Linked DNA regions of Sus scrofa. The main gene of each other region encodes a partner of the protein of the gene in region 3 in a complex. Links are inferred from orthologs where the notes say so. Each region holds a gene or a part of one and is shown on either strand. Other genes may lie near its edges. The genes, in order: MYSM1, RBM10 and KIF11.

Region 1 (10,134 bases), on a different chromosome or scaffold from region 3:
AAGCCAGAAGCTGCTGAGCTGTGAATAAGGACCTACAACTTCTATGGGAAAAATCTTCATTCTATAATTTTGGCTTTTTACTTAGATTCCCTCCCACTCAACACCTGTAAATTGGCAGAGTGAGAAGTGAGAACTTTTACATATTCTAATTCTCTGTCCTTGAACAAATTACCATCTCTGGGTTTCAGCTTATATAAATGAAAATGGAGGTTTGGACTGTATGACTTGACTTAGACTAAAGAGTCTAGCTGATTTTTCTTAACACTCTAATTTCTATTCAACAGTATAAAGAGTTGGCTCAAAAACACGGAGTCAGATCTCAGACTTAAAGGTAAAACAAAACAGGCAGAAGCATTATATACTAGCAGTTGGGGGCCAAATAAAATCTGTCTAGTAGCTAACAATGGTCTCATGTGTAAATTTTGCACATGTGTAGATTTTTAACCCTGAAATCTTTACTTTCCTCATAATCATTAAAGGATACTCTTCTTCCAACAACATTTTTTCAATGACAGCTCTGTTCTCTTCACTGATGGTGCTGTCCAGAGTCCAAGGCTATTTAAAAAAAGGAAGAATAGTTTTTATTTTCTGCATTTTAAAATTACCTTCTGTCTTGTTAAATAATGCAATGATTACAACTAAAAAAGCTACCACTTAGTGAGCACACAAACTTATCTTTGATTCCCACAATAATGCCATGATAGGCATTATTACTTCCATAGATGCATTCACTAACATTTCAAGTGGAAAAGGTGAGACTTGAGGCTTAGATTCCAAAGCTCAGGCTCCTACCGATGATAAAGTAATACTGTCTACCGTGTTTGAGGAACTATGAAGTATTAGGCATTTTGCTAGATACTTCACCTATTTCCAAAATTCACAATTCTTTTTTTTTCCCTTAGCCCACAATCTCTTCTTAAACAATCATACACCTTTTCAACTCTCAAAACTTAAAAATTTTCAGCTCAGGTCTCTTCTCCAAGTTCTTTTTAGACTATTTTAACTACCCACTCAAAATTTCCACTTGGATATCCAATAGACTTCTTATTCTCAGCATATTCAAAGCAGAACTCACCAGCGTATACCTTCACCTGCTTCTCCTCCTGCCTTCCCAACTTTGTAAAGAACACTTCCAGTCACCAAGCTATTCCAGCTAGAAACCCAGGCATCATCCCGGATTTCTTTCCTTTCCCCTCAATCCCCACATCCAGTACACCAAGCAGTGCCATCTCCAAAACATAATTCAAATCTGCCAACTTCTACCACAACCTCAGGCCAAACCACCACCAAATCTTGTCTAGATTAGTACAAATGTTTCCTGCCTAGTTTGATTCCCCTCCTCTTCCTACAGGTATGACAGAGCTGTCCTTTGCTTCTCCAACCTTGTCTTAGCTGTCATCCCCTCCCCTTTCCTACCATGCTCCAGACACTGGGTTTCAACCAGAGTCTTACTTCTATTCTTTCTACCTATAATGTTTATCCTCAACTCTTCACTTATCTACTCCTATTAACTTTTCAACTGAAACGTCACCTCCTCAGTTTATCTCACAGAGGAGGTAAACTTTATCTAAAGTAGGTTCCCCACCCTGATACTCTCAGTCAGCATCTTGCTTATGTTCTACATGATCTATAATTAGTCTGTCTGTTTACTACCTGACTCCTCTTTAGAATATAAGCACCTTGAGAACAGGATCATGTCTGTCTTGATGAGCTGTATCCCCCAAATTTGGCCTATTATGTCTGGCACATAGTAAGTACTTAATAAATAACTGCTAAATGAAGAAATGAACCATGCAATGATCCCATTTTTTTTAAGATGAACCAACTGAGGTTCACAAATCTGATAAGTGGGAGAGCACCGATGTGTACTTAAATCTAGCTGGCTCCAAAGTTGTTTCCAAAAGACCATTTTTCAAAGTCAAAAGAGGTAGAAGTAAGTTCATTCTATTTTTAATGAAAAAATACTTCAATGTATTACTTCTGTGCTGAGAACTAGAACCAAGTTTAAAAAAAAAAGTTCTCTAGGCACTGGACTTGATAATTTCACAAAATACTTACAATAAGACCATTCTCAGTTCTCCACGATGAATCAAGATAGTGGTCTTGTAAAACAGATGCTGTATTTTCATCACTTCTGTAATAATAAAGAAAATGGGTATAAGAGTGAGATTATACCAGTTAATGAATGTGATTTACACAGTACAATGACTGGTAGGCTTCAGATCTTAAGCAAATAATTTAGTTCCTTTCTCCCCTTAAGAGATTTAACATTGCAGATGTCTACTCTATGTCTGGCCTATGAAATATATAAGTGGCTTTAAGCCACGCTATTTTGATCAAGTCTGTTCACTTCTTTTGTTTCCTAAGAATAAACAACTTCCTGAGGAAAAAAAATACCCCAAAGCCACAACCACAATATGTCCTGTGGCTATGAACCAACTCTTCTGATTTTCTTTGATGGATATGAATGTGGATATAGGAATTCAATTTTACAATTAATTGTTTTGGTTATATCTAAAGCATAAAAGCTACCCATCAACAGCACCTTCCTCAAAAGAAAAATAAGAACAGATGGAAGAACCAAAAAGAAAATACTCAAAGGAGGACAGTACAATGCAGAGATAAGAAATGTGATGTTTTAATAACAATTAAAAAAAAGTTAGCTTGGGTTATTTGGGGGCTCTTCTACATCCACTGGTGATTAAACTTAATTTCCACTTCTTTCACTAATAAAAAGTCTCTAAAGTCACAGTGTTCACTTCATATGAAAAAAGGCTGAATGGTTAAGTTTGGGACAGTCCAATCTATGTTATAATTAAAGTTAATACTTGCTTCTGTATACTTTGAAGTTATAAAGTTTCTTAGCTACTGACCTTTCTCAGACGTAGTCTAGTGATAAGAATTTTGTAGCTCTTAAGACTGCAAAAACTTCTCTACAAGTTTATCTCCCTCTGGGACACACATAAGGTGTACTGTCTGTCTCATCCAATAAGAATGTTAGTTGTATGAGAACAAGGACTCTATATGCCGGGACTTGGCATATAGAAAATAACGGATATTCATTGAATGATTAAATGAACAAAGTAGGTAGAGCAGAAACACAGGTTTCTAGGACTTAAGGGATAAAGATTTCTTATCATAAAGCCAATTGAGGATTCTTTTTTTTTTTTTTTTTTTGTCTTTTTAGGGCCACACCTTCGGCAGATGAAAGTTCCCAGGCTAGGGGTCGAATCAGAGTTGCAGTCACTGGCCTACACCACAGCCACAACGCCAGATCCGAGCTACATCTGTAACCTGCACCACAGCTCACAGCAACACCAGATCCTTAACCCACTAAGTGAGGCCAAGGATCGAACCTGCGTCCTCACAGATGCTAGTCAGATTCGTTTCCGCTGAACCACAACGGGAACTCCTTCCCCAGTTGAGGATTAAGGGGAATAACATGATCAGATCTGCATGTTAAGAAAAGACTGCTCTAACTTCAGGAAAGAATAAAAGGGGGCCAAGGAGACAAGGAACAGTTAAGAGTGATTATATAAATACTTGAGAGAGGCAATGATAACTTAGATTTGAAGAACAAGCAGTGTGAATAGGAAGAATGAACACATATGAGAGGATATTCAAAATCGATAAACTCTTAATAAATGACTGAATAGAATGCGAGAAGTAAGGAAAAGGAATAAAGTCTACGTCTATGCCTTGTGTGACTGGGTGGACTGAACTTAGAGAACTTGGAGAGGCAGGTTGGATGAAGAAAGTTTATAAGCTGAGACTGCAGAACACCCAAGGGCAGAGAGATTCAGAAAATTGTATAAATGGACCTGAAACTCAGGAGAGAGATTTGAGTTGGTGACAAATTTGGGAAACATCATTTTTGTAGGTCAAAAATGGTGGGACATTGGCAAAATTTCATACTGTCCAACCTAACAAATAAATTTAAATCCTGAGAGACAGACTGTGTGGTTAGTGAAAAGTCTTATGACAAAAATCCCTTGGAACATTAAAGGTTTTTTTGTTTGTGTGTGTTTCCCTGCATTTGTGGCATATGGAAGTTCCCAGGCCAGGGGTCAAATTTGAGCCACAGCTGCAGCATCACCAGATCCTTAACCCACTATGCCACAGAGGGAATTTCAAAACATTAAGATTTAAAGAACAAGCAGAAGAAAACAAGAATGAGAAAGAGAGGCAGGATAGGTAGAAAGGAAATCAAACCATTGCAACGCCATCTTCTAACTTTGGTAACTAGCACTTAGCGAGACCTAAACATGTTTTTAATTAATCCTCAAGGCTTCCACAAATGCTATCAGCTGTAACTACACAATTCAAGTGTTTATTCACAAGAAATTCTATGTGATTGGAGCCCTAACACCAGGGAGCAATTTTCACCAGGATATGTTACTGATGCTCCCTGAAGTTCTGTAAGGCAATGGCTCTAACCATCAGGAACCAATAACCCTATTACTGGTTACATGAGACTAAGATGATCACAGGTGCCACCAATAAAACTGAGGCTCAAGCAAAATAATAAAAAAAAAAAGAGAGAGAGAAAAAGGGATAAAAATAAAATACAATCAGAAAAATAAAGAACCTATGGAAAACGGATAGATAGAGCCAATGCTCTCAGCTGATCTTTGGTGTTTCCAAGGCCAATTCATTTCTCTCTGGGCTGCAGATAAGAATCCCTCCCACTTATTTCACAGACTTGTGAAAAGCAAATTAAATCACACATGCAAAAGCACTTGTGCAAGATTAACGAGGTCTACACAAATGTGAACAATGATTGTTAGTAAACCCTTCCTATCCATTTGTATAGCTTTGGACTATTTTGCCTAAAGATTTGAGGGAGAATGACTACATGAAGTTGGTTACTCATTTTCACAGTGCTTTAGGGTTCAGAAGAACTTTAAACCCACTATCTTAGTTCCTCATGGGCAGGGCCAGTACACTTCAAAATTTACAGAGGCCCTATCACTAGGTTCGACCACGTGAAATTGCTTTTTAATAGGTCAAAACCGTCTAAGATTGGCAAATCCACATGGTTCTAGAGACTTCGAACGTTCTTTATAGGTACAAGCAACATAGCTGAGTTTAGAACTGAGGTCTTAGAATTCCTGACCCATCTGGGCCTTTTCCATTACTAAAAGGAGATTCTGAAAGCATATTTTAAAAATGGTTGCTTTCATTCCCTGCAAGCAAGGAGTCAAAGGGCTAGATGTCTCAAGCTGAAGGTTATTGTTTAAAACCCCACTGGCCTGCTCTGCAGGTAGAGATACTAAATAAATTGTGACACCCCCCCGCCGCAGTCCTCACAATACCACCCCTAGGGATAACGGGCCGGTAAAGAACACATCTACAGAGCACCTATCCCATAATCACTTCATTTTTTCTTCACAATAATCATACGAGGTACCTAACATGATCGTCAGCCTACTCACGAACTGTCTGAGGCTCAGACAAATTAAAAGTCTGGCCCAAGGTCACACTACTAGTATCTCGCAGGACCAGCCATTACAAGAGAACCCAAAGCTGTCTAACTCTACGTCCTGCCCTTTCCTTTAAGTCACGATACCTCTCTGGAAGTTTTTCACAACTATCCTTATGTGGAAGAGAAAATCGATAGGGAGTAGGGATAAAACGACACACCCAAGGTCACAGGGCTTGCAGGCGATGGTACCAGAATCCCTACGCTCAGGTCCCATCTAGGGACAGCCCTTGTTCTCATGATTATTGGGCGGTGGCAAGGGGGCGGATTCTAGGGTGACACTAACGGAAGAAGTAATTGCTTAAGAGCCCGCAATGTGCTAGGGGCGACCGGCGCCCTCACAGCATCCAAGCAAAAGGAGAAAACGCTGTCCGCCCCAAGTCTCAGGTACTCGCCGGCTGCGCTTTGGAAGAGCCGGGCGGCGGGATGGGCGCGGCGCCGCCCAGGCCTCTGGGAGACCCCGGCCCCAGCGGATGGTCTTTCGCTCCCCTGGACCCTTCCGGAACCCCAGCCTTTCTAGGGTACCCTTCTCACATCCGCGCCCCTCCTCGTCTCTGCAAAACCCGGTCTCTATGTCTCACCCAGACTGTGCCGCCGCTGGCATGACGTCCCCTTCGACATCCACATCCGCCTCTTCTGCCGCCATGATGGGACCTGACCCCAGCCGTGCTCTCGAGAGATCCCGCGAGAGGTGGAGGGCGTGAAGGCGGGGCTGCGTGCGTCACGGGGCGGAGTTGAGGCGTCGACCGGCCCCTCCCAGGCTCAAGAAGCGGGGCTTTCGGGGAAAAGATATTAGCGTCCTGGGTCTGGATTCTTCTGACTTTTGTTGACGTGTAAAGACCTTGGCAAGTGGCCCAGGCTTGGATTTTGAAGACGTTGTGGTCTTGGATAAATTCTTTGGCGCCTCGCTTCTCTAATTTGTAAAATGGGGTTTATACTAAATACCTGGAGTGCTGAAAAGATCAAGCCAGACGGACTTTGAATGTGAAAGTGGCAACAGCGACCCTTATCTGCTGGTTTTTATTTTTTAGAATAGAATCATTCAGCACTTATAAAAATGCTGAACATCTGTTTTAATATTCAGGAAAGAGTTTAGAATATAACTTAGGATTGTGTATTTTATTTCGTAGATATCTTTACAGTTAATTAAAAAATCACTCATCACCGTTGATCTTCACAATAACCTGGTGAGGGAGTTTCCTTATGGTACAGCAGGTTAAGGGCCCGGCGTTGTCGCTGCAGAAGCTTGTGGCAAGAGTTTGACCATAGCGCAGGAATTTACGCATGCCGCTGGGTGTGGCCAAAAAAACAGAAACAAAGAAAACGCCAAAACCCAGTGAGATAAGCAGGACCAATAACATCAGTCACCCTTTGCAGATAAACTGAAGCTCAGAAAGTTGAGATGACTAATGAGAAGGATGGACAGCTAGTCAAAGACAGAACTGGGACCAAAATCCAGACCTTTTGACACTTTACTGAGTGTTTACCTGTACAAATTGTGTTGTTAGGAACTGTGAGAGACAAACACCATTTCTCTCAAAGAACTTAAGGCTTTTTAAGAAATTAAATATTACCCTTATGTATTCTTCTACCTTAGCATCTATCATTCACATTATTGTAGCTGTTAATTCATTTTTCTGCCTCCACCATCTGACTATGAATTCATTAAGGACAAAGGCTGTATCTGCTAGTCTTTGGACTAGTCCTTAAGGTATCAACATTCAACATGATGTCTGACACAGTTGGTGCTCAATAAATATTGAACTGATGAGTGAATCAATCAATTAATGGAATGAATTCACTTCCCACAATATTCTGAGTTGGCCCCAATGCACCCTTGCACTCAAGCCATAAGAGGAGCTGTAATACAACTGTGTGGCCAAAGATGGAGAGAAAGTTTTGTAAAGAGAGAGATCCAGTGCTCAGAAACTGAATAGTGCTCCATCCTTAAGTTATCCTGTTGCTAAAGGGCCTATCCTGTGACCAGTCTCAGTGGTAATTGGCATGCTTGGCACAGAGTAGGCTTTCTAAGATATTTGTTAGATGTAATTAATAGCAAGGTTAGAAAGATGGACATGGCCAGATGGTCAGAGCTGTAGAATATAGATGCCTTTCATTGATCTTTACAAAACAAGTGGGATAGGAACCCTTGTAGTACTACCTGGACACACAGGGTATCAAATGTCTCCTAGACACAAAATACCATATGAACAGTGTCTCCTATAATACAGAACTGAAGTCTTTCTGGCCCAGTATTAGGCATCAATAGGCATTAAAATATATATGGAAGGAAGGAAAGTCCTGCACAGAATTCCAATATGCCCCAAGGCCTTTAGGCATAAAGGCCTCCCTAAACAGGGAGACTAATATGAATCCTCCCCACACATGCGCCTATGCACCTGGTTTGCTGGCTTTATGTGAACGAGGCTCCTTAAGGGTATAGCTCAACCCTACCTGCAAGGAAGTGGCTATAACCCCACAGTTGAATACACTCCCGAAGCCTGGTCTACTGTTTAAATTTAACTATTTATTTAAAAATATATAGGAGGAATTCCCATCGTGGCTCAGTGGTTAACAAATCTGACTAGGAACCATGAGGTTCTGGTTTGATCCCTGGCCTTGCTCAGTGGGTTAAGGACCCAGTATTGCCGTGAGCAATGGATCCCGCGTTGCTGTGTGCTCTACAGCTCCGATTAGACCCCTAGCCTGGGAATCTCCATATGCTGCGGGAGCGGCCCTATAAGAGGCAAAAAGACAAAAAAAATTTAAAAATTAAAAATATATAGGAGTTCCCATTGTGGCACGGAGGAAACGAATCTGACTAGTCTCCATGAGGATGCAGGTTCGATCCCTGGCCCTACTTGGTGGGTTAAAGATCCGTTGTTGCTGTGAGCTATGGTGTAGATTGCAGACGCTGCTTGGATCCTGTGTTGTTATGGCTGTGGCATAGGCAAGCTGCTGTAGCTCCGATTTCGACCCCTAGCCTGGGAACTTCCATATGCTGCAGGTGTGGCCTAAAATAAAATAAAATAAAATAAATATAGTCACTTTCATTTTAGAGATGAGGAAACTAAGTTTCAGATAGTTACATAGTTGAGTACCAGAGCTGGGTTTCCAACACAAGTCTTTCCCACTCTACCCTTACTCTGTTACATTTTCATTTACCACAGAAAGAATAGGGTATTTTGTGTTACTATGATATTTTCTCACTTGGTTTAAGAATAAATCACAATCAGGTATTTCTGATGTCTTTGAGGTGCTTAGGGCTAGAAATGAATGGAAAGTGTATTCTGAAGCCTGGAAACTTGTCTTGGGTTTACAAACTTTCTGTGCCTCATTAATACACTCTATTTCCTTTGTTGATCCTAAAACAGAATTAGCAGGAGTTGCCATATCTGTAAATTTTCCTGAGTTTTTGGAGGAACAATCAATCAAGTGTCTGTCTCATATCTCTGCTACATTGTGTTTGAATTTATTGGAGAGATAGCTTGATAGCTTATTCATTTCATTTTCTCCCATTTCTGGTGAAAAAAAAGATCACTGCATTTTTATTGAAAAAGCAAAGTATGGTGGCAATATTAATCCATAAAAAGCTGGCATGTTAGTAGTCATGCTAATTAGCCCAGATTTGTAAAGTGCTTTAAAAGTGGGAAGTGTCATACAACTGCTCACTAATGTTGTTATTATATTATGATCCAAATTGTCAGCTAAATGATTGCCAGGGATTGAAAAGAGTTCCCATTTGAAAAGCAAAAAGGCCAGTGAGTGGGGAGGAAAACCACTTTATCTAAATAGAGGTGAGATAATAGATGAATGCAGACATAGAATTAAAGGCTACACTTGGCAAGCATTGGATGTGGCTTGAATTGTTCCAGGAAAGCAAACTGCATTTTATTTTATTTTCCCTCCACAATTCCCTGAAATCACATAAGGTGCTACTGAAAAAACTGTTCTCAGTATGTTGTAAGGAAAGTCTGCCAATGCACTTCTTACATTTTAATTACAGTAATGTTGCATCCATCTGACATTATTTGGAAGGGAATGAAAAATGCCAGCATTAATGAGTTCCTACTGTGTGCCAGGCATTTTACATACATTATTTCTTTACAGCCCTTTGAGGTAAGGAATTGTTACTTCTATTTACAGATGTGGTAGCTGAGGTTCAGAATAGTCAAGCAATTTACTCAAAGAAATGTAGCTTATCATCTTTTTGTCACATCATGCCATCTTAGGTTGGGTACTAATAGTATCATTCAGAATTGCATCTTTTCTTCTTCAGTAGCCCCCAGTGGAAGGCTTATGTCTCTTTCTAAATTGTTCTAGGAAGATGAGTGTGGTGGGCCATGCTTAAGTCTTATACTATCTCAGAAACCAGGTGGACCACACGGGATTAGGAGGAATGGTGGCTCCCCCCAAAAATAAGAGGAATGGCTGCTGTGTTGGTAAAACAGCAGATGCCCACTATGCTGTTCCATGTTGCATTTCCTCTCTGTTATGTTACCTCGAGCCTTACGTACAATCTGAAAACCACTACAGGCTTCTGTTAGAATTGCTTCAGGCAAATTACTTGCCCTCTCCAGACTCCTACTTCTTCATTCGTAAAATCACCCATGAAATAATCTCTTCTGGGGTAAAATTCTTTGTTCCTGTTC
Region 2 (9,994 bases), on a different chromosome or scaffold from region 3:
TGCCACGGGAGCGGCCCAAGAAATAGCAAAAAGACAAAAAAAAAAAAAAAAAAAAAAAAGAAAAGAAAAGGTACATGCACCCCCACAGCAGCATTATTTACATTATTTAGGTTGGAAGCAACCTAAGTGTCCAACAACAGATGAATGGATAAAGAAGATACAGTATATATGTATGTGCACGTGTGTATATATACATACAGACACACACGCACACAGGAATACTGCTCAGCCATTAAAAGAATGAAATTTTGCCATTTGCAACAACATGGATGGACTTGGAGGGTATTATGCTAAGTGAAATAAGTCAGAGAAAGAAAATTCTGATATCGCCTACATGGAATCTAAAAATTAACAAACTAGTCAATGTAACAAAAAAGAAACAGAATCCCAGATAAAGAGAACTAGTGGTTACCAGGGGGAAGAGGAAAGGGGAGGGCGAGATAGAGGTAGGGCATTAAGAGGTACAAATTACTATATATAACACAAGTAAGATACAAGGCTGTGGTGTACAGTAGAGTTCATAGCCAGTATTTTATAATAACTATAAATAATCTTTAAAAAATTATCACTATGCTGTACCCTTGAAACTTAAAAAGTATTGTACATCGTCTACACATCAATTAAAAAAGAACACCCAAGACTTGTATTTTTAGTTTATTCAGATTTACGGCCTTTAAATGAACTCCAAAATATTTACCATACAGCTCTTGGATGACTGCTTACAAAGATGACAATTCTCCTCAAATTAATAAAATTCAATACAATCTCAATCAAAATTCTTGAATTTTCTGAAGGACTTGATAAGCTTTTTACATAAGGCTCTGCAAATGGCTAGATCAACTCTGAAGAACAGATCACTGAAATGAATCAGATCATTCAAGACAGATCCATGTACATGAAGGAACTTGAAATGAGAGGTACTGCAAATTAATAAAGAAAGAACGGACTATTTCAGGGGTGATACTGGGAAAACTGCTCACCATTTGGAGGAAAATAAAACCAGAACCTACCTTATACCATATTCAAAAGTGGACTCTAGATGGATTTAAAGACCTGAGTGCAAAAGGCAGAACTACAGAGAATAACCTTTGTGTGATCCAGAGGTAGGAACAGAGAAGATTCTGAAAGGATAGACTGTAAGATGAAAAAGTGATCATTTTCAGGAGCTCCCATCATGGCACAGCAGAAATGAATCCAACTAGGAACCGTGAGGTTGCGAGTTCGATCCCTGCCTCACTCAGTGGGTTAAGGATCTAGCGTGGCCGTGAGTTGTGGTGTAGGTGGCAGACGAGGTTTGGATCCTGCATGGCTGTGGCTGTGGCCAGCAGCTGTAGCTCTGATTAGACCCCTAGCCTGGGAACCTCCATATGCCTCAAGTGCAGCCCTAAAAAAAGCAAAAGAAAAAAAGAAAAGAAAGTGATGATTTTCAGCACACCAAAATTAAGAACAGGTATAGAGCCTTGGGGAATGGCTAAATAAAAGGCAGTAGGCACACCTCAGGGTGTCCCTGGGACCAATTAGAAGCAAAAAACTAACATACATATGGCAACTAACATACATACAGACAGATCTTAAAAACGCAGTGCTGAGTAGTACAAAGTTCAGGAAACAGAATGAAGACTGTAGCACTCTACCATTTGTGTAAATTGAAAACACAGACACTGAAAACAACACTACATATTTTGGAAGGTACATTTCAAACACAACAGAGCAGCTGCCTACAGCTATGGGAATTGCAAATAAAAAGGAAAAAATAAATATAAGGTCTTGTACCAACCTATGATAGAAGCCTACCTTGAGGTGAAAAACTATGATTAACTCAAACCTTTGCACTTGGGGTCCTTTAAAAGCCAAAAGAAAGTCAGTGGTTTTATTTGGTAATAAAGTCTGAAGCAAGTATGTTACCTACACAAACTAAGAAATTGCCACAGAGCGCTTCCAGTGAATACCACCCAAAATTGAATGCCTTTCAAAAGATATTCTGAAACAAAGACTGATGATGACCACATCTAGAATTTGGGCTCAGTTTTCAGAAAATGAGATACTATAATTCTACAGTTTTTAAAAGGTAGAAGAAACCCTCTGTAAGACATTAAAAGGGATCTCTGTATTTTACCAAGTGTCCCAACTGTTTCTTGTTCATACCAGAGTTTAAAAATAACTATCCGAGAGTGTCCCATTCCAAGATAAATATCACACCAACTTCAACCCACCCTGTCCCTGAATCCCAGATCTTAAAAATGCAGTGCTGAGTTCTACCTGCTGACCTGGCTTGCCCCATACTTGACCTGGGCAATTCCTGATTCTGAAGGCACCACTCCCATCCATCCCTCAAACCCAAAGCTACAGCCCACACCTTTCCCCTGAGAATCCACAGGCACTTACAACCCACCACCCACCTGCCACCCACCTACGCCTCTCTTCCTGCAGGGGCTGTCCACATCTTAGTGGATGGCACCATATACCTATCTGGGTCAACCAGACTGGAAACCTGGGCATCAGCCTCCATTCCTCCCTTTCTCTTGATCCCTTCCCACCCTGTAACCAAACACGACACCAATCAAGCTGTTTTGTAATCATCTGTAACTGTGTAATATCCCCTGTGAGACCCTAAGTAAGGAGAAGGCTGCAATCCTATTTTTGTTGTTTTTATGGCCACACATCTGCAGCATATGGAGGTTCCCAGGCTAGGGAGCTATAGCTGCTGGCCTACACCACAGCCACCCCAGATCTGAGCCACATCTGCGACCTACACTGCAGCTTGGCAACGCTGGATCCTTAACCCACTGAGAGAGGCCAGGGATTCAACCCACATCCTCATGGACACTATGTTGGGTTCTTAACCTGCTGAGCCACAACAGGAACTCCAAAGGCTGCAATCTTATCTATCTCATTCACCAATGCACTCTCAGAGCCTAGCGCAAGTTCTGGCTCACAAGTGCCAAATAAACATCTGCTGAAAAGAAACCAATCATCTGCTGTGCTGTTTTTTTTTTTCCTTCCCCCTGCCCGGAAGCCCCCTCCCAGCGCTTTCCTGGGTCAGTTCGCACACAAGGACAAGCCTAGGCTGCTTGGAAGGGGTAGGAGTGGGTAACTCACCGTCTTTCATACTCCATGTCCTGATACGGCCTGCGGGGGCTGCTGGGGCCCCTCCTCAGCCGCTGGCTCCGTTTCACTTCCCAGCCACCCCCGCTGCTGCCACCATGATCTGCCAGCCTGGGCGATGCCTCCTGCAGGGACTCTAGGGAGAGGAGAAGGAAGAAAGGGGTCAAGGCAGTTGAGGCAGAGACGGGTTCCTTGAAAAAACCTTTTCAAGGCTCTCTGCTGTCCCTGAGCCCAGCGATGTTGTTTCCCAACTCGAAATACTCCTGGGGACCAGAGCAGGAAGGCAGTCCCTGTTTGGCTTGCTCCTTCCTTTCTTTCCCCACAAACGTGAAGCTAGAGCCCGCCACCCTAGACACAGCATAGCCTTCAGCAGAGGGGGAGCATCTCGCAGAGAGACCCAGTGGCGCCACCCATGCTGTCTGTGATCAGGGCTCTGCCATTGGAGACTGGTAGACAAGTTCAAGCCCAGAGCTATCTGCCCGGGCGGGCAGCAGGGGAGAGTGGGCTCTCAGTGCTGGGTGACTTGTCTCAGATCAGGCACATTAGACATCGGGGCAAGACACCACAACAGGGGTCCCAGGCACCCACCAGGCTACCATCCGCGAGCCTCCAGGGAATATTTCATCCTCCCCCAAAGACGCTGGCTGCCCACTCTGACACGGCAGGAGACCACGAAAGGCTCAGGGGGTGACGGGGCTAACTTGGCAATGACACAGCTGCCGCCTCCCTAGGCTCCTGGCCAACACAGTTTTGGCTCCGCACCGCAACTGGCTCAGCCCTGAGCCCTGTCTCTTATGCACAGCCAGGTCCCCCAAGGGGGCTCCCTCCCCAGAGCTCTGGACCCGAGTTGTTCAGAAGCAAAACGAGTCCTTTCGGAGCCTGTTCTGAACCGATGTGTTATTCCTCCGGGACGTATGGGCAGTCACTTTACCCAACCCTCAGGCTCCGGTGAGAACTAAGGAAGGCCTGAGAGCCTTGAGACCAGGCCAGGGGTCACCACAAAGTATCCCGGAATCTTTAGGCCCCACCCTCTGAACAAGACTCAGGCAAAGCCAGGTGGTAACAGCACCTGCCCCAAACTAGGTTGCCACTACACCTTTCCTCCGCGGATACACTCACACCGATTTTCTCTTCCTCCTCAAGCCACAGAGAACCAGCGCTACCCGCTCCCGGATGGCTAAGAGTTAGAATCACGACCAGGGGCTCCAGTGGATGAGAGCCGGACACAAAACCCTTTAGATCTGGCAAAGGAGCCAGGGTTATACACTGGTATCCACAACAGATAGGGAACAAACTCAACAGAGTCAAGCCCCGAATAACTAGGGGCCAAAATCACAGACAGGAATCCAGGGTAAATACAAGCCATAATCATCCACTGAGGCCCCCTTTCACAGGATGAGCGTCAGAGTAACAGATACGAAACACCCTCTTCCCCCACCCCCCACCCCCGCAAAGAAGGGACACTAAGTCTTACACACGTTCCTTGCACTTCCTCCCACCCAGTAAGTGGATTAGGGCCAGTTGTAAGAAGACTTTCTGGGATAAGGACCCCTCCCCATGGATAAGGACCAGGGTTACGGACACACGATCCGAGGATAGAGACCCCAGTCATACGTTCTCCCTCCTCCCCCACTCAAGAATAAGGACCAGAGCCACCAAACACTTCCCCGTGGATAGGTAAGTACCAAAGTCACACAGGAGAGCAGACAGCACACTTCCTATAGATAAAAACCAAAGTCGCAGACACTCGCCTCCCACGGATAAAGTTCGGCGTCGCAGACACACTAAGCCACAGTAACCCACTCCCATCCGTCCCTCCCTTCCCCCAACCCGCGTGCACCCATCCTGTGTCCCAATCGCGCACGCGCCTCTGCTCTCAAAAGGAGAAAAACAAAAAACAACAACAAAAAAAGACACCCCCTCCCGAGCACAGACCGTGTGAGCATCGGGGGTTCTGCACGAAAACCCAAACCTGCCGCCCGCAGTTCGCCCTCGCGCCTCCTCTACGCGTTCCCCCCCCCACCCCCGCCCCCGGTCCCTTACCTCCGCCCCCACGACCAGCGTCGACGCTCACCTTCTCGGCCCGGGCTGTCAAGGGAGGGCTCCCGGACATCACCTCGGCCCGCCGCCACCTCCTCCAACTCTCCCAGCTCAGCCGGAGCCGGTCCGCGCAACGACCCAGTCCGAGGCTGAATGCGGAAGGGCGGAGGACTGGGGAGGGAAGGAGCGCCCAGGCGCGCTGCCCTCCCCGGGCAACTCACTGCCGCCTACTCCCAGCCGGCCGCGATCACCAGCACAAAATGGCGACGACGAGAAGGGAGCCGGCGCTTCGACCACCATCCACCTACTAAGGGAGCGCGCTCTGGCCGGCCCCGTCTATTGGTCGCCGTCCTTCGTGGGCCAGCCCTGGCCTGCTCTGATTGGCAAGCGCATGCCACCACCCCGCTCCCCGTGCGAACGCCCGCAAGTCGAGAAAAAGAGTAGCTATTGGCCAATCCGGCGAGGCCCGCTTTTTAGAAGCTCGGCTTCCTAGGAAGATGAAAGACCAGCGGAAGCTCCGCCCCTCTCGCCAAAGGGCACGGGAACTCTCCTCGAGATTGGTTGGGGACTGCATCCACCCAAGTGTCACCGTTTTCTTCTCGTCAAGAAAATAAGCAGCCTTTTCGGCCAGAAATTCCACAGCCTGACCGAGAAGATAGGAAGCTGGTTGCTCCCGTGAGGCCATGACAGAGGGAGGGAAAGAGGACGTTTGAAAACAAAATCCCAACTCGGGACCTATTTAGTGCGGCGGGGGCGGAGCGACAATTCTCGCGCTCAGGCCCAACTGCAGCTGCGCAGAGTCACATTTCCGTCCCCGCCCCCGCGAGCCTGCAGAACGAGCTGTCATGGCGGCCGGGGTGTTAGGTTTGTGCGCTCGCCGCCTTTTAGCAGCAGCGGCGACGCGAGGGCTCCCGGCTGCCCGTGTTCGCTGGGAGTCCGGCTCCTCCAGGGCTGTGATCGCCCCGTCCGCTCTGGTGGGAAAGCGGCCGCCGGAACCGACTATACGCTTGCAGGAGGACCCAGATCCGGAGGACGAAAACCTCTATGAGAAGGTGAGAGGGAGGGGAAACGGGACGCCGCAAGGGTCAATCGGGGACCTGCGGACGGGGCGCCGTAGAGGACGTACTTAGTCGGCTGAGGATTGCGCAGCTGGCAAAATCCTCAAAGATTTGGGAGTTCTTTCTAGCTCCTTTTCCTCCTTTGTCCCCTGATAACCTTCGGTTCAGGGCCAGAGGCGAGACTGACCTTATTTTCCAGACAGATATCAAACCTGAAATGAGCAGTATACCATAACAGCAATAATATTAAACACTGATACGGTCCTTGCTCAGGTGTTCGAAACACTTTATAATATTAACTTATTTAATCCTCAAAACAGCCCTATTTCGAGGTAGGTACTATTAATATACCCATTCTGCAGATGAGGAAACTGAAGCATGAAGGTGTTAAGTGACTCCTCCAAGCTCACTTAACTGAATGTGTGGCAGAATCAGGTCTGCTGTGCTATCCTGTTAGCAGAGACTGAAATCAGAATGCCTGAGTTGGAATACAGGCCCTGATAGTTACTTACATATGTGACCTTGGGCGAGTAGCTTAACCCCTTGGTGCTTCAGTTTCTTTGAAAGATGGGGAAAGTATTAGGACACTTTCTAAAAAATAAAATATTACACCTGCCTCGTGTAATTAAATGAGTCAGAGTGCTCAGAACAGCAATTGGCACTTATTAAGTACTCACCATTAGAAGCTGTTAATTATTCTTGCCACTTTCCACCTTACCAGGATATTGTGCAGTTTGTGCTTGTGAAAAGGCCTGGCACGTGATAGATGCTTCATCAATACTAACCTTTGGTTGAGGAGCTTGGCTCTGTAGGATGCTTATTCATTTATATATTAATTCTGTAAATATGTATTGAAGGCCTGCTGTGTGCCAGGCTAAGTTCAGGGTGCTAGGGATTCAGCCACATGGGAGTTAGATAAAGCCCTTGCTTTCACAGAGCATACATGATAGCAGAGAACAGGGAAAATAAATGTATAGAATATTAGAAAACAGTGATATAGAGGAATTCCTGTCGTGGCTCAGTGGTTAACGAATCCGACTAGGAACCATGAGGGTGCAGGTTCGATCCTTGGCCTTACTCAGTGGGTTAAGGATCCGGTGTTGCTGTGGGCTGTGGTGTAGGTCGAAGACGTGGCTCGGATCCCAAGTTGCTGTGGCTGTGGTGTAGACCAGCAGCTACAGCTCTGATTGGACCCCTAGCCTGGGAGCCTCCACATGCCGTGGGAGCGGCCCTAGAAAAGGCAAAAAGATAAAAAAGAAAAAAAACCCAGTGATATAAAGTATGCAATCAATAATATAAGATAATGTGATCAGAGGATTTGGGGGCTATACTGCTTTGGCAAACAAGTAAATGCTAGAAAGACTGTTAAGCAAGATAAGTGAATGGATAGTGACTTGGGGTAGGGAGTTATTTTATTAGTTTGAGCCATAGGAAATTGCCAATATTCAATAATTTTTGACCTGTTAAAAATGTCAGTTTGCTCTAGCTCAACTTAATAGACAAGGTGACTAGGAAATGCCTCCTGAGGGGAGCGATGATGAAGCCAAAACCTTGATTGAGGAGGCAGATCCAGCCACAGCTAGGTCGGCGGGAAAAGCTTTCCCAGCAGAGGAAAGAGCAAGTGCAAAGGCCCTGTGGTGGGAAGGAGCTTGACAAATCCTAAGAATAGAGAGGAATTTAGGAAGGGAGGGAGGAGCTTGGTCCAAGGTGAAATTGGAGATCGGGTTATACTGCTTTGTGGAGTGGCAGGAAGCCTTCATTGACCTCTTCTTCTCTTTGCCTCAGAACCCAGATTCCCACGGTTATGACAAGGACCCCATTGTGGACCTCTGGAACATGCGGGTCGTCTTCTTCTTTGGCTTCTCCATCGTCTTGGTCCTTGGCAGCACCTTTGTGGCTTATCTGCCTGACTACAGGTGCATGGGGTGTCCAAGAGAGTGGGGTGGGTGGGGGCAGAGGCAGGGGTGGAGCTTTAAAGAGACTGTCAGGAATCCTGTCCCTGTGCAGCAATGGGAGCTAAGATGGGGATTGGTGTCCATGGAGGCTCCCTCAAGTCTACCCCCACGCTGCTGCCTCCAGGATGCAGGAGTGGGCCCGCCGGGAAGCTGAGAGGCTCGTGAAATACCGAGAGGCCAACGGCCTCCCCCTCATGGAATCCAACTGCTTCGACCCCAACAAGATCCAGCTGCCGGAGGATGAGGACTGACCTGGGGCCGAGAGAGGCTTAAGAAGCACCTCTTTCTTTATCTCCTGTCTGCCATTCTGCCCTTCTCTCAGAGCACCTAATTAAAGGGACTGAAAATGTGCCTGGCTGGTGTTGCTTTTGTTGTGAGGGGGCTGTGGGAGTGGGGGTGTCAGGCTTTAAAAGCTTTTTCTAGGTATGCAGGTTAGCTGTTGCCATGTGACAAACACCCTAAAACTTAGTGGCTTAAAACAATAATTTGGTATTATCTTTCATGGTCCAGTGGTTGACTGGGCTCAACTAGGTGGTCCTTCTTGGGGTCTTGCGTGGTTGCAGTCAGATGGTGGCTGGGCCCAGAGTCATCTGGAGGCTCAGCTGGGCTGGACATCCAGGATGGCTTCTTTACTTCCATGTCTGGTACTTCAGTCTGCTATGTGGCCTCTCCCTCCAGCAGAATAGCCTGGGCTTTGTATATGGTGGTTAAGCGCTCCTTTGAATGGAGGTGTAGCACGTAGGAAGAAACTGATGGCAGCCGTCTTTAGAATAAAGCTACCACACCGAAACCTCCTATGTTGGAAGAAGGGCCAGGGTGGCCAGGGATTGAGGGTGGCGGCTGAGAGCAGGGCTCTTCTTTTGCTGAGGATGAGTGCTTGTCTCCATCCCTGCCTTCTTCTCTTGGCTTTGGGCTTCCTTCCTTCTTTCCTCCCTCCCTCCTTTCTTCCTTTTCCCAGGCTAGGGATCAGTCAGAGCTATAGCCGCCGGCTCATGCCACAGCCACAGCCATGCCAGATCCGAGCCACGTCTGCAACCTACACCACAGCTCACGGCAACACCGGATCCTTAACCCACTGAGCAAGGCCAGGGATTGAACCCGCATCCTCATGGATACTAGTTGGGTTCATTACTGTTGAGCCACAATGGGAACTCCTCTTTTTTTTCTTTTTGGCCACCCCACAGCATATGAAGTTCCTGGGCCAGGGTTGCAACCTAAGCCATAGCTGCGGCAACGCCGGATCCTTAACCCACTGTGCTGGGCCAGGGGTCAAACCTGCATCCCAGTGCTCCCAAGACACCAATCATCCCTTTCTGCCACAGTGGGAACTCCTCAGCTTTGGGGTTTCTGCCTCTGCCTCATGCCTTGGTGAGTCTGGATGACTCTTCCCTTCTGCTCCCATCTGGGTGGTCTCTAACTCAGGATACACATGTCTCTGTGTGCATGTGTATCTGTTTCACTGCCCGCTTATCCCTTGCCCTGACTTTCTGTGTCTCTCTTCCGAGCAGAAGTCTCTCCCTGCCCCCCCATCCCCAACATTATTTTTCTCTGGCTATTGGCTATCTCCTTGCATCGTGGGCTTATTCTCAGGCTCTCTCTGTCTCTGTCCATCTCCCTGGATCTGGCAGATGGAGTTGGAGACTTGCTTTGGCTCTTTGTTTCTTTCCAGCAAGTCTCTCCTAGATCCCTGTTAATTCTGGGCATCTGGGTTCCCCTTCTTGCCCCTGGCATCTCTGCCTTCTCCTCGCCGGCCCCCTTCCACAGCTCACACTTTCAGATTCCCGCATCACATGCGTGTTGCTACCCTCTCTGCATGTCCCTGCTTGGGGCATCGGA
Region 3 (9,387 bases):
ACAGAAATTTCATTCTATGATTGGTTTATAACTCAAGTTTTTTGTGTTTTGTTTGTTTTTAGGGCTGCACCTGCAGCATGTGGAAGTTCCCAGATTAGGGGTCAAATCACAGCTGCAGCCTCTGGCCTACACCACAGCCACAACAACACCAGACTCGAGCTGCATCTGCTACCTATGTCGGAGCTTGCAGCAACACTGGATCCTCAACCCACTGAGCGAGGCAAGGCCAGGGATCAAACCCACATTCTCATGGATACTAGTCAGGTTCATTTCCACCAAGCCACAACGGGAACCCTATAACTTAAGTTTTAAAAATGGAAAGCTAGGAGTTCCTGCTGTGGTGCAGTCTCTGCTGTCTCTGTGCAGTGCAGGTTCAATACCGGGCTCAGTGCAGTGGGTTAAGGATTTGGCATTGCCACAGATGTGGCCTGGATTTGATCCCTGGCCTGGGAACTCCATATGCCATGGGAGCACCTGAAAAAGGAAAATAAAAAGGAAAGCTATTATAGGAAAAATTAATTAAAATTATAAAATAATCTATACCCCTACGATGTTATGTTATTCTTCTTCTTTCTTTAAATGCATACATATTTAGAGTTGTAGTTATACTTGCTATAGCATAGTATAGAAATGTCCAACTGTAAGAGAGCAAAAAAATGAGAACTAGCCCTAAAAGTCCTTCTCTAGCTCAGGGAGAATGATATTCAGGTAAGTTTACCTAAAGTAACATATTTAGTTGACTGCAGATCTGGAACTAATCTCAAATATCTAACTCCTAATCCATAACTCTTTCAATTACATTCTGACATTTCTTCGAAGATGAGTAGAAAAAAAATCACCTCTGACTTGGTAAACTGCATTTGGGGAGTCTGGGATTCATCCTATAAGGGATGCTAACAAATATGCTCCTTTCTCCCCTTGAAAGCCAGTGTTAGTGACCATTTGCCTTCCTACATTAAAATGAAGCCATTTTGGGAAAAAAAAAAAATCACATCATACAACCTAAATATATACAATTTTTGTCATCCATACCTCAATAAAGGTGGGAGGGGGGAATTGTTATTTGATGTTCTTCTAATCCTTGCTCAAACCAGCGATTTGCAAACTGTGTTCTAAGTATCCATAGGGGCTCCAAAAAAGTGCTTAAGGAGAATTTTCCTAAGGCTGAGGAGATAAGCCTCTGAGCTTCCCATTGCCAAATCAACTACAACAGTTGCATTAATCTGGGCTCCCACATACGATTTCATTTGGGTAAAGAAATCTTCTGGTTAAAAAGACTTAATACTCTGCTCAAGTTCAGCTTGTCTTTGTTCTCCTTTCAACATTTTCCCAATATTGGTGCTATCCCTATAAATCTCAAGCCAATTACTAAGGCCTGCAATCTAGCATACAGTCTAGATGTGTGACTCACTGACTTTGACCCAATTTGATTGCCCAAGTTCATAATTCTTCTTAAAGAGGGAGTGGAGTAGTGGGGGAGACAATGGCTTTCTCACCTCGAGTAGGCATTCATCAAAGTTGCTGCAGTTGTCCTTTTTGCTGCTCCCTTCTCCAAAATTTGATAGACCTCATTCTTGTTATGTACCGTAATTTCTTCTAAACCTTTGATTATCACTCCCCTCTGACCAAATATTAAATGGCATTCATTAGATTGGTTATATATGGAGAAAGAGAGAGAGAGACTTTTCAAAGTATAAAACTGTAACATTTAGAGACATTTTATTCTCCCAAGACTGAAGTTACCTTGTTACGGGGATCATCAAACATCTGTAGTCTCTCAGAAACATCAGAAGATGGATTAAGAAGATCAAAAAGCTCTTCATTATAGATTTCCAACAGAGACACTTTGACTGAAAATTCAGTACCATTATCAGTAAGTTTCTCAAAAATTTGATGAAGAGTACGTGGAATTATACCAGCCAAAGGGTCCTAAAATTATAATATTCATAAGCACTTAAATAAAGCATGAATGCCATTTACTGCAACAGTTAAGACATAGATAAAAAGGGCCTCTTTTATAGTATATTTAAACATAAGAATGTCAAAACAAGGAAAAAAAAAAAAACTAACCAAATTTAAGAAGCCAACTTTTATAAATCATTTACAACAGTCTGTTCAATAGTAATTATTCTTCCTCCCACCTTCCACAAATCTGTCATTCTCAGCAGCCACTTCATGCCTGAGCATTACACAGAAACCAACTAAGCCAAGGTACTTATAAAGCCAAGTTCAATAACCCTTGCCAGTTTTTCTCATCAGAAATAATACCATCACTTTAATCGGAAAAGTGGCTCACCTAACAGTATATTCCCTAATTCTGACATAAAACAAATTGTTTCTCAAATTTCTAGGTATACTTTTTTTCTTTTTCTTCTTAGGGTCCAGCCTAGGGGTCGAATCAGAGCTGCAGCTGCCAGCCTACACCACAGCCACAGCAACTGGATCCAACATAAGCTGAATCCTTAACCCACTGATTCCACTCTCCTACAATACTCTGCTCCAATTATTCTGTCCTAAATAGGCCCTTCTCTTATCACTTTAACTGTGCCATATGTATTGGTCCTCTCTCTCCTAATTACCATACCATATTCTTTAATTTTATTACAGTAGCAGTTTATCTTAACTTTGTGTTTTATATGCATACACTGATCTTTTCCATTTCAAGACAGAGGCCTTCAACCAGCTTTTATTCAGTATACTTTAGCCACTTTAGAAACACAAGTCTGTTATAAACAATAAATACCTCCTCCCAAGTATACTCTTCATTAGGGGACCTTTCACCTTCCATTGTAAACGTTTTTCCGGTGCCAGTTTGGCCATATCTGTCAAAATTAACAAAAGTGTTAAACAAACAAACAGAAACCAAATACATGCATCTAAACCTTTTCATCAATTTAGAAAATAATGTTTCACTCACGCAAAAATAGTGCAATTATAGCCCATAATAACTTCATCCAGAATTGGACAAACAACACTTCGGTAAACATCAATTTGTTTAGTAGATGCTCCAAAAACCTATCCAAAAAAGGGGGGGGGGGTTTATTTTTTTAAAAAGATTCAAAATTACTTTAATAATTTTGGTTTTAATATATTAACTTATTTAGCCCACTAGAAACCATTTGACAACTCAAAGAATCAAATGAAATTTGCAACTGCATGCTAGAACCTAGAGAAAATATGTATACTAGGAAATCTTTACATTAGTGAATAACAAAGAAGTAGCAGCATTTTAGGAAGTAAGTACCATATCAAAAGTATATGTTTTCCGTGAGCTCTTGTCAGCCAGTCCTCCAGTTCGTACACTAACTTCTTTCCTTACGTGGTCACATTCTACTACAGAATGGGCATTAGCTTTCCGTTCTGCCAAATTAAATGGTCTATAAAAAGAAACACACAAGGTTATTCAAAATCTGTTAGGTATCAGGTACTGATGACATTTTTATTAATACCTCAGAAAAGAACAATGTGAAGTTTTACTACACCATTGTTGACAGTGATTAAATGGAGCCTAAAGAATACTGCAAAAGCCAAGAGCAGAATCTTAAGGATTTCAATTCCTAGAAGTTTTTTAAAAAAAGTTTTGAAAAGTATGTACAATTATGACAGTTTGTTGGAGTAGATGCTAACAAAATTGATAAAAATAATGACTAAGGGTTCCTGTTGTGGCTCAGTGGTTACGAACCCGACTGGTATCTATGAGGACATGGGTTCAATCCCTGGCCTCCCTCAGTGGGTTAAAGGATCCAGCATTGCCATGAGTTGTGGTATAGATCGAAGATGTGGCTTGGATCTGGTGTTACTGTGGCTGTGGTATAAGCTGGCACCTGCAGCTCCAATTCAACCCCTAGCCTATGAACTTGCATACGCTGTGAGTGTGGCCCTGAAAAGACAAATAATAATAATAATAATGACTGATATATTGAGTACTATGTCAGGTATTCACTGTTCCAAATGCTTTATACACCATGTTAACTCAACTTGTCCTCACAAGTGTGAGGTCTAGTGGGGAACAGTGACATAAAACAAGTGATTCGAAGAGAAGTGATGTTTAGAAAGGGTAAGTAAAAGGTGCTGTAGGAACATAGAGCAAATATTTAATGTGCTCTAGAGAGATCCCATCGTGGCTCAGTGGAAACGAATCTGACTAGCATCCATGAGGATACAGGTTCGATCAATGGCCTCACTCAGGGGGTTAAGGATCAGGTGTTGCCGTGAGCTGTGGTATAGGTTGCAGATGAGGCCTGGATCTGGCGTGGCTCTGGCTGTGGCTGTGGCAGGCAGTTGCAGCTCCCATTCAACCCCTAACTTGGGAACTTCCACATGCCATGGGTACAGCCATAAAAAGATGACCAAAAAAAAAAAAAAAAAAACTCAAAAAATTTAATGTGTTCTTGATTGGGACAGGGAAGGCATGAGTGTTAGGAAAGACTCCGTGAGGAAGAAATCTAAGCTAAAGGCTTCCTTAGGCACTTGAGTATAATGATGACTCTTGATCCAGTCCACTTGGGCAATGTAGTCCTTTAAGCCTGTCTCCTCATTTGAAAATTGAGCTTGGTAATAGTACCAACCTCACAGTGTAAGCAAAGATCCTGTTTAATTTACTGTTTCCCTAGGGTCTATTACCATGCTCAGCACACACTAGACACTCAAATATCTATTAAACTATACTGCTTAATAGATGTCATCTTAAAGAGAATGATGGGAAAGCTAAAAAGAACCATGCATAAGATACTGATGTACTTAACGCACATCTGGGCCAAAGGGAGAGGTATACTCTTTTTTTGTTTGTTTTTAGGGCTGCATCTGCAGCATGTGGAAGTTCCCAGGCTAGGGGTCAGATCAGAGCTGCAAATGCCGGCCTACACCACAGTCATAAGCAATGCCAGACCTGAGCTGCGTCTGTCTCCTACACCACAGCTCATGGAAATGCTGGATCCTTAACCCACTGAGAGAGGCCATGGATCAAACCCATGTCTTCATGGGTACCAGTCGAGTTCTTAACCTACTAAGTAACATGGGAACTCCCAAGAGGTACACTCTTAAGACCTAAGTTCATTTTTCCCATTCATTATCACATATTGTGACAGGAAATGCCAAACAGGAAATTATCTTTGCCCTCATCACTAAATGAACCAAGTTGCTATTTATTTTAAAAAGGATATGTCCTCTGGCATGCATGCCCCCACACTTAGCATATTTTGACTGGTCAGAAGATCAAATTGTGATCTTAAGAAATTTAACTCAGTAACTCCCAGGTAATATCTGGTAATGCTGTCATTTATCAAATGTATGAAAACTTACACAATGCACACAACCCACTGTATGCAGTATTTTAAATGTTCAACCAAATTGAGTCAAAACAAACTTATACTGAGGTAGGCCAAAAGTATCAGATAGAATGAATTGCTCTCATGTGGTTAAAGCTTTTCCAATTGGTCGAATCTCTTGTCTGGTTGTGTGATTAAGGTACCAAATGAATACCATTCAAGTTCTCAGGTCAGAGTAATAGAAATTCACACAAGTCACACATACTAAGTTATTAATACTCCAAGAGGAGCTTTAGGAATTGTTCGTACTGCAATAAAGAATACTGTCGGAGTTCCCATTGTGACGCAGTGGTTAACGAATCCGACTAGGAACCATGAGGTTGCGGGTTCGGTCCCTGCCCTTGCTCAGTGGATTAACGATCCGGTGTTGCCGTGAGCTGTGGTGTAGGCTGCAGACGCAGCTCAGATCCCAAGTTGCTGTGGCTCTGGCGTAGGCCGGTGGCTACAGCTCTGATTCGACCCCTAGCCTGGGAACCTCCATATGCCGTGGGAGCGGCCCAAGAAATAGTAAAAAGACAAAAAAAAAAAAAAAAAAAAGAATACTGCCAAGCCACTATTTTCCACCCAGACTTCTCTAATCAGAAACTTCAAGGTTTCTGCTGATGACACTAACAAACCCATCAATACATTGACTTCATTACAGTTATATTAAAATTCAAACAACCAAGATGGTAAGAAGGGAAATTGAAAATTAAAAGGAGTTCCCGTCGTGGCGCAGTGGTTAATGAATCCGACTAGGAACCATGAGGTTGCGGGTTCAATCCCTGGCCTTGCTCAGTGGGTTAAGGATCCGGCATTGCCATGAGCTGTCATGTAGGTCGCAGACACGGCTTGGATCCTGCATTGCTGTTGCTCTGGTGTAGGCCAGCGGTTATAGCTCCAACTAGACCCCTAGTCTGGGAACCTCCATATGCCGTGGGAAGCAGCCCTAGAAAAAGTCAAAAAGACAAAAAAAAAGAAAAGAAAGAAAATTTAAAAAAAAAGAAAAAATCCTGTCAGTGGAAATCCATTCATTCATTCATCCATAAATATTCATATAATTAGTTACTATACAAGTAAAGAACATCAAAAAGATTGTGTTCATTGTAATCAAGTAATGAGGTCATCTATCTCTCTTGAAATCTTGCTAATCTCTTACACTACAATAAACTGTGCCAATTAAAAGTTTAAAACTGAAAAAAAAAAAATTAGAGAAGAGTATGTGACAGAGACCACATGCAGTCTGCAAAGCCTAAAATATTTACTATCTGTGCCCTTTGCTGAAGGATCTGACAACCCCTGAGGGCCTCATAGTTGTTTATTTACTCAAGCTTAAGGACATACTTGCACTAGGAAGGCTATTTGAAATAGAAAAAGCCATAGACATAGAGAACAGACTTGTGGTTGCCAAAGAGGAAGTGGGAGGGAATGGGATGGACTGGGAGTTGAGGGGTAGTAGATGCAAACTATCACATTTGGAATGGATAGACAATGAGGTCCTACTGCATAGGACAGGGAACTATATTCGATCTCCTGAAATAATAAACTGTAATGGAAATGAATATTAAAAAAAAGGATATAATCTGGACAAAGCCTTCATTCGAAAAGATACATGCATCCTATGTTCACTGCAGCAATATTCACAATAGCCAAGACATGGAAACAACCCAAATGTCCATCAACAGACAACTGGATAAAGAAGATGTGGTACATATATACAATGGAATACTACTTAGCCATAAAAAAGAACAAAATAATGCCATTTGCAGACATGGATTTTCATACTAAGAGATTCCCATAGTAAGTGAAGTAAGTCAGACATGATATCACTTATATGCAGAATCTAAAATATGACACAAAGGATCCTATCTGCAAAATAGAAACAGATCATGGACATGGAGAGCAGACTTGTGTTTACCAGGGGGGAGGGGGAAGAGACAGGGATGAATGAGGAGTTTGGGGCTGGTAGATGCAAACTATTACATTTAGAACGGTTAAGTAATGAGGTCCTACTCTACAGCACAGGGAACTGTGTACAGTCTCTTGGGTTGGAACATAATGGAAGATAGCATGAAAAAAAAAGAATGTGTGTGTGTGTGTGTGTGTGTGTGTGTGTGTGTGTGTGTGTGTGTGTGTGTGTGTGTGGCTGGGTCACTGCTGTATAGCAGAAATTGAAAAAACGTTGTAAATCAACTATGCTTTAATAAAAAAATTTTTTAAAAGAAAAAAATAACTAGGTCACTTGGCTATACAGCAGAAATTAGCACAACACTGTAAATCAACTGCACTTTTCTAATTAGTCTAATCTGAAAAGAAAAGCATTTCTTTATACTGAAATTGTTACAAATATTAGACACATCCCAAGCACTTTTCATTAGCGATAAACTAAAATAAATCTCTTTTAAGTTAAGGCTTGAAATGTATTGGAATAATAAACACGAGTTCAGAATAATGTTTAACTTTTGGGGAGGGATACAATGGGACACCAGCTGTAATGACTGTTTTGTTTCTAATCTGAGTGATGGATACACAAATGTTTGTTACACTGTTCCTTGTAATTTTTTACAGGTCTGACCTATTTGTAACTAGCAATAAAAATGAAATTTAAAAAACTAAAGCCCCACAGAAAAGGTAATACTGCCTGATGTCACTAAACAATAAAAATCATGTGAAAATTTGCATTTGTAACATGGGCTGCTTTTTAAAAAATCTTCAAAACAGGTTAACTATTAGCAGAAGCCCTAGAGTGCAACTAGTAATTGGTTATACTTAAGTTTACCATCAAATTTCCTCTCTGGCATCCAGTTTAAAAAGCTATTACCTTTGATATCAACAATTCAAGTCACCAAAGCTGTGTAGGCAATAACCTAAGAAAGTTTGTTGATACACTTTGAAAATAACCTTTTAATTTTAGAATATGTTTGGATTTCCATGAAAGTTGCTGATGGCAGAGTTTTTGAAACAATAACAACAAAAATAGACACACAAAACACACATACACCAGTAAACTGTAAAGGGCCTCTAAAAAGCTGAATAAATCCAATTAAGCAATTTGTACAAGTATGTTTTTCCTCTCCTAGTTCATTTTAAAATCGGGAAGTGATATGGAAACTAATCGAGGGAGAGTAGAACACCTTCACCCACCCACTGGGAAAAAGCCTTCTCCTTTGGACAAGAGAAGACCAAGTACAGTACAACTTAAGTTGTCTCCTCGATCTTTTAAAAACAAACTCACTCTACGACTTAATTTTAAAACGTTAAATACAGCGCTGTTTGTTTAATAGGGATTAAGGAAATATTTCATTTAGAATAAAGAGAACAGGTGACTGAATATGTTTTTAGAGGTTATGAAGTATGATAATCCCAAGACAAATGTTAAAACATTTGCAAAGTAGGTGTGCAGTCTTATTTCCAAACTGACCAACTGTTAGGAGTGACATATAAAAGTGACGCCTAAATCTCTGTCGACAGTTTGAAAGGAAAAAAAAAAAAAGCTCTTTTCAACAAAGAACAGCAATCAATTCTCCATAGCTGCTTAAACTACAAAGTCAGACACAAATATCCTTTCTTCTGAAAACACTAATTTACTCGCCGCAGCAACCTGGTGTTATTTTACCGAACTGAACGCGGGGAACTATGAAATAGGAAGGTCTGGTTCCTTCAAAAGCTGCAAACAAAATCGCTCTCCTCCAACCGCGCAGGAGGGAGCCCCACAGCAAAGCCCGGAGCTGGGAATCCAGCCAGGCTCGCCCTACCTGCATCTCACCACCACCTGGATATTCTTTCCCTTCTCATCTTTCTTCTTCGTAGAGGAATTCGGCTGAGACGCCATGACTGTCCCCGCCGAAAATCAAGGCCTGGTCTCAGACTCCTGCGCCCAAGGGCGTGGAGTGGCTCTGCAGCGTCGTGGACCTGGGTGATCTCCTTCCCTGCCAGGTGCTGCCCGTAGGCGGGAAAATCGCTCTCCACCAGGGACTCTGGCCGCACTTGTGTCCGGCACTATCCGGAGCCTTCGAACCTCCAACCTAGTCTCCGCCTAAGCCCAGGAAACCAAGCAACGACTCGGCGCCTCAATTTGAAA

The links.
Region 1: KIF11 (region 3) and MYSM1 share a complex: the UniProt entries of both Homo sapiens proteins name them as parts of the large chromatin remodeling complex. The link is inferred for Sus scrofa from reciprocal best matches to the Homo sapiens genes KIF11 and MYSM1.
Region 2: KIF11 (region 3) and RBM10 share a complex: the UniProt entries of both Homo sapiens proteins name them as parts of the large chromatin remodeling complex. The link is inferred for Sus scrofa from reciprocal best matches to the Homo sapiens genes KIF11 and RBM10.

What each region holds. Positions count from the first base shown.
Region 1 is NC_010448.4:153,752,191-153,762,324, reverse strand, and holds the start of MYSM1 (histone H2A deubiquitinase MYSM1), read right to left. Parts: upstream 6,586-10,134; 5' UTR 6,129-6,585; coding exon 6,064-6,128; intron 2,135-6,063; coding exon 2,059-2,134; intron 556-2,058; coding exon 485-555; intron 1-484. UniProt on the Homo sapiens protein: Metalloprotease with deubiquitinase activity that plays important regulator roles in hematopoietic stem cell function, blood cell production and immune response.
Region 2 is NC_010461.5:41,769,444-41,779,437, reverse strand, and holds the start of RBM10 (RNA-binding protein 10), read right to left. Parts: upstream 5,541-9,994; 5' UTR 5,219-5,540; coding exon 5,149-5,218; intron 3,242-5,148; coding exon 3,100-3,241; intron 1-3,099. Other genes in the region: NDUFB11 (NADH dehydrogenase [ubiquinone] 1 beta subcomplex subunit 11, mitochondrial), read left to right, coding at 5,991-6,197, 7,989-8,312. UniProt on the Homo sapiens protein: Binds to ssRNA containing the consensus sequence 5'-AGGUAA-3'. May be involved in post-transcriptional processing, most probably in mRNA splicing. Binds to RNA homopolymers, with a preference for poly(G) and poly(U) and little for poly(A).
Region 3 is NC_010456.5:104,125,872-104,135,258, reverse strand, and holds part of KIF11 (kinesin-like protein KIF11), read right to left. Parts: 5' UTR 9,139-9,387; coding exon 9,062-9,138; intron 3,378-9,061; coding exon 3,245-3,377; intron 3,016-3,244; coding exon 2,918-3,015; intron 2,823-2,917; coding exon 2,744-2,822; intron 1,930-2,743; coding exon 1,744-1,929; intron 1,622-1,743; coding exon 1,497-1,621; intron 1-1,496. UniProt on the Homo sapiens protein: Motor protein required for establishing a bipolar spindle and thus contributing to chromosome congression during mitosis. Required in non-mitotic cells for transport of secretory proteins from the Golgi complex to the cell surface.